2 linked regions of the Kluyveromyces lactis genome follow. The protein of the gene in region 1 purifies or fractionates together with the protein of each later gene. This does not show direct contact. Links are inferred from orthologs where the notes say so. Each region holds a gene or a part of one and is shown on either strand. Other genes may lie near its edges. The genes, in order: SHE3 and MLC1.

Region 1 (2,814 bases):
TAAGATGGATGGTCATGCAAGAGGTGGTGGTGCAATCTCAGCTGTAGCATCCACAAATACTCCAATTATCTTTATTGGTACTGGTGAACACATCCATGACTTTGAAAAGTTCTCTCCCAAGTCGTTTGTTTCTAAGCTTCTCGGAATTGGTGACATCGAATCTTTGATGGAACGTTTCCAAACAGTATCTGACCAAGATGATGCAAAGAATACTTTAGAGAATATCCAACAGGGTAAATTCACTCTACTTGATTTCAAGAACCAGATGCAAACAATAATGAAGATGGGTCCCCTATCAAACATCGCGAATATGATTCCTGGTATGGGGAATATGCTTAACCAATTCTCAGAAGAGGAAACTTCAAAGAAAATGAAGACAATGGTGTATATTTTTGATTCAATGACCAAGAAGGAACTTGAATCGGACGGTAGAATCTTCATCGATGAACCTAGTAGGTTGGTAAGAGTGGCAAAGGGTTCCGGAACAACGGTATTTGATATTGAAATGCTTTTAATGCAACAACAGATGATGGCAAGAATGGCGCAAACAACTAAACAAATGGGAGGACTCCCAACAAAAGGCGGAATGCCACCAAAGGCAGGTATGCCTTCTATCCCTGGTATGCCATCAATCCCTGGTATGCCAAATATCTCTCCACAAATGATGCAACAGGCTCAACAGCGTATGAGACAGAATCCTGGTATGATGAACAAGATGATGAGTATGATGAAAGGATCTGGAGGTGGTATGCCAAACATGCAAGATATCATGGGAATGATGCAAGATCCAAGTATGCAAGAAATGGCCAAGCAATTTTCTGGGGGAATGTAGAGCGTTTTCTTCAGAATGGGCTATTATAAAACGCAATCGGCAGATACTTGGATATTTGTACATCTTAGTTTAGTTACATACACTCTTATTTACCTTCTTCTTCGTTAATCTGTAAATTAGAAATCCACCTCTGTGATTATACCTTCAATAGAGCTAGCTTCATTATAAATGGGTGAATCGAGCCCAGTTTCTTCTTGTGCAGTCTCTCTCGAAGTACTATTCGTAGTAGATCATTAAAACGATCATTGTTTACATTTCAAGAAAAAAAAACGATATCGAACTGAAACAAATACGTTAATATTAAGACACACGCAACTTAGAATGACAGAAGCATTCAGTTAAAGTTCCAGAATCGTTGGAAGTAATATCTAGGACCGACTGTGGATGAAGATGACGGAAGCACAAGAGTTCTTGACTCCTACGAAAGGTGTGAATTCAAGCAAATTCAATATCAACCATGGCCATTTTATTACGAACCTAGAGAATCAGGAGAGTCCGTCCAAGCTAGGTGCATACACACCGGGAAAATACTCTACCAGTAGAGTAATAGAATCACTACACAAGCAGATAGACGAGCTGACGAGTACGAATCTTAAAATGACGTCTCAATGCCATCAATTAGTGAATGAATTGGAATCTTCTGGGAAGAAACAGAATAAACAATTGGAGACCATCTCGAGACTGCAGACAGAAAATATGAACCTAAATGCAATACTAGATAGGAAAACTAATAGAATGAATGAATTGGAGAGTTCTTTGAAGAAACAAACTGTGTTCAATGAAGATGCAGCCAAAAAAAATCTTGAGTTAGAAGAAACCGTTAAGAAACTATCACTCGAAAACGAAAAGCTTACGGAACAATCGACTCTGTATAAAATTCAATATGAAGCTATCGTCGATGCACACCAATCTTATAAACAGTTTTTCACGAACGAAACAAGCACTTTACGAAATGATCTAATGTCTTTGAAACAATCCATGACCAAACAGTTGGAATCTAAGACGAAGGAAGTATTGGCAATCGATGAAAAGATACAAAATAAACTAGAGTCACTAGACAGTGCTCAAGAATCCTTTAAAAAACATGCATCTGAGCAAATAGAAGATAATATCAAAGAACTAAGGCTTGATAGTTGGCAATCTTCGTTAAGAGAAGCGCAAGCTTTATTGAAAGAATACAAATCACAAGCACAAGCAGAAGGTATTACCATTCAAGAACAACCCAAAGCGTCTATCCCACAATTAAGAAATCCCAAGAGGAAAACTAGTGGTCAAAAGAGGACAAGTTTTTATGGAACTCCTACTGGCTTCTCAATACCATCAAACAAACAAACGCCTCCATCTAGCAGTTCAACTCAATTGCCTGGCCTCAAAAGAGCTTCATCAATCAGAATATCATCAGATCCGAACCGTAATAGATAGCAAGAGTAGTATTTCCCAATATTCTATTGTTGGCAAACATATATTGTCAATAAATTATCCTGGCGTTTCTAACTTATACATAAATCTAGCGATTCACAATTCATTATATAGAATTTATGATTTGAATAAAAACGTTACCTTTCTTGAATCCGATTTTCCAGAGAATACCAACACTATGTTCAAGTACTCATCCTAACCGAGCAGGTAGTAGTGAAGATCTACATACTTTCATCAGCGTTCATTTTTGTATTCAGGATATCGGTTTCTTGTGTTTCCTGCATGATCCATTTCCATATATTTTCGAAACAAAGGATTATTTGTATAAAGAAAGGAACTTGGCACGAATCCTAAACGATTAAACAAAAACGACAACAAATTACAATGACCACTGGCCGATCGTGCCGCCTGGAAATCATCATTTTTACAAGGAAAACGGCGAAATCAATATCATAGTACTAGACAGTTGTCTCTGCAAGAAGAAATGGGACAACAAACCTTCGAAGATAATGAAGAGATTATTTATTCGTCATATCTTGTAAAAAAACCCACCGTCTCGAAGT
Region 2 (2,258 bases), on another chromosome or scaffold:
ATTTTATGTTTCTTCTTAGGTTGCGGACCTTTTTAACGTTACGTTCAATGATTTCATTATTTTCATACTTCTTCTTAGAGTTTCTCTTATCCGAAGACGACTTGGCTGGTGCTGCAGTTGTTGGATCCTGTTGAGGATTACGCTCTAGTGCGACAGCGCTGTTGAAACGGAACTGGGAATTTAAAGAATTTCTGGACGCAGAAACGAACTGATTTGGGACCCTACTCTTTAGGGTCTGTTGTTGGACAAGTCTAAACATGGTTTTAGACAATGGCAAAGAAGATGTTCTTTTTAACCGGAAAAAACACTAATAACGAACAGTTGATTAGCTCTGTGTATAATAATCAAAAGAATTTGTTAGTAATATGAACCAAAGACTTTTTTTATAGGTAAAAGTCTAAAATCTTGAATAGTGTTAGAGTTTAGGGAATATATATATATCCATCGCCTCTGAGGGAAACCCGAACCTATTGTAATCGGACATAGTAGTCACACATACCTTTTTTTTTACTGATGAACGAAGGAACACAATATAATGTTCAGAGTTTAAACGGTATACTGATCTGTGATATAGTACTGAGCTATAACAAAAGAAAACACAACAATGAAAATTATGTCTTAGTTAACAAAAGTGATACGACACTGAACGATAAAAAACTGTTATTGAGTATGTTAATAATCGCTTTTGTTATATAGGTCATATCAAAAAAGAAGCTTGAACACTTTTCATCGCTCGACAAGAAGACAAAAGAAAAAGTGTCATCAGATGTCAGGAACATTGGATGCTGAGGAAAAGAAACTGAACGAGGGAAGGTTGGAAATTTTCGAAATGCGATGTTGAATTGTGCGGGTAACAATATATTTGACTCACGTGATGGGTATTTAAAATCCGGGTAAATGATATCTGACTGAGTTTTAGGTCGTCCAAAAAAAGAGCTTTTGAGGCCCCAGAAACAATAATTTGTTTTCCATTTTGAAAAACGTAAACAATAAGAGTATCTTTACATTTGATATATTTACTGGAGGAAGGCATGCATTGTTCTACACATTCGAATAGATTTATATTTACCTTGGAGCTTTAAATAGTATCTACTTCTTGCTAGGCTAAGTGATACTGAATCGTGATTTAATTACGCAGTACTGTATTATTCATTGAAGAAGTGGGAAATCAATCATCATGTCCAGAATCAACAAAGATATTTTTACGCTATTTGACAAGCAAGCCAAGGGATCCATCAGTAAGGCCCAAGTTGGTGATTATTTGAGAGCAATTGGATACAATCCTACCAATGCGCTAGTGGAGGAAGTTGTCGCTTCTTCAGGTGACGAGTTGACCTTAGGTGATCTAGAAAAATTAGTTAAGGATAACGAAGAGAAGTTGGAGCAAACTACTCAAGGTAAAGTAGAGGATTTCATCAAAGCCTTTCAAGTTTTTGACAAGGATAATACTGGCAAGGTATCACCAGGTGATATTCGTTACCTATTGACCGGTCTAGGGGAAAGGTTAACTGACGAGGAAGTTGATGAATTGATGAAGGGGATCGAAATCGACTCTGACGGATTGATCGACTACAAGAAATTTGTTGAAGATGTATTGAGACAATAAGAGAGAGGATGTAATGCAACTCAAGATTACATGCATTAGTTAGTATAATACAAATATATATATAAATATAAATACCCAATCTCACACGCCAGGAGCTTTGCTCTTTTGTTCTATTCTAAGCAGTCCGATACTATTGACTTGTGACAGTTCTAGATTCAAAACCCAACGTCTTCTGGTAGGGTGAGAATTGGCATGAAGTTCCCTATTATCATCATAGGTAAACCAAAGGCGTCTCTTTTTAGCGTCCATAGACAACAACATTTAATAACGCTTCCCTTGATCGGGGTTAATAGATTACAAATTCGCATAGTTTCAGCACCTCTGAACCCCTGATATGCAACCCTAGTGAACGTTTGGAAGTACTCCATTACCGTATCACCATCCATCAATTCGACTATGAAGGTCATTTTGTTGAGTAGTTCTAGACGATTCCAGCCAGTCAATAGAGAAAACTCGTCATTCACATAACTGATCTGTCCGTTACGTCTCCATACACAAGTTGGGGTACCAACCTGAGAGATGAATTTCTCATACTCTAATAAAGTTCTCTGATGGCTCTTTTCCATAAATATCATATCTTCATCGGTGAGGTCGATAGTACTGGCAATGAAAATTGGTCGTAACTCAGCTAAGCAGCGACACATTTCCACCA

What was found.
Region 2: the proteins of SHE3 (region 1) and MLC1 purify together in Saccharomyces cerevisiae (affinity purification with mass spectrometry, with the first as the bait; 5 studies listed by BioGRID). This does not show direct contact. The link is inferred for Kluyveromyces lactis from reciprocal best matches to the Saccharomyces cerevisiae genes SHE3 and MLC1.

The regions. Positions count from the first base shown.
Region 1 is NC_006040.1:759,579-762,392, forward strand, and holds SHE3 (She3p), read left to right. Parts: upstream 1-1,216; coding exon 1,217-2,254; downstream 2,255-2,814. Other genes in the region: RNA-binding signal recognition particle subunit SRP54, read left to right, coding at 1-832; OPY1 (Opy1p), read left to right, coding at 2,736-2,814. UniProt on the Saccharomyces cerevisiae protein: RNA-binding protein that binds specific mRNAs including the ASH1 mRNA, coding for a repressor of the HO endonuclease. Part of the mRNA localization machinery that restricts accumulation of certain proteins to the bud and in the daughter cell.
Region 2 is NC_006042.1:962,031-964,288, reverse strand, and holds MLC1 (Mlc1p), read left to right. Parts: upstream 1-1,177; coding exon 1,178-1,606; downstream 1,607-2,258. Other genes in the region: KLLA0_F10461g (uncharacterized protein), read right to left, coding at 1-259; ERT1 (Ert1p), read right to left, coding at 1,762-2,258. UniProt on the Saccharomyces cerevisiae protein: Essential light chain for the class II conventional myosin MYO1. Also acts as light chain for the class V unconventional myosin MYO2 and for IQG1.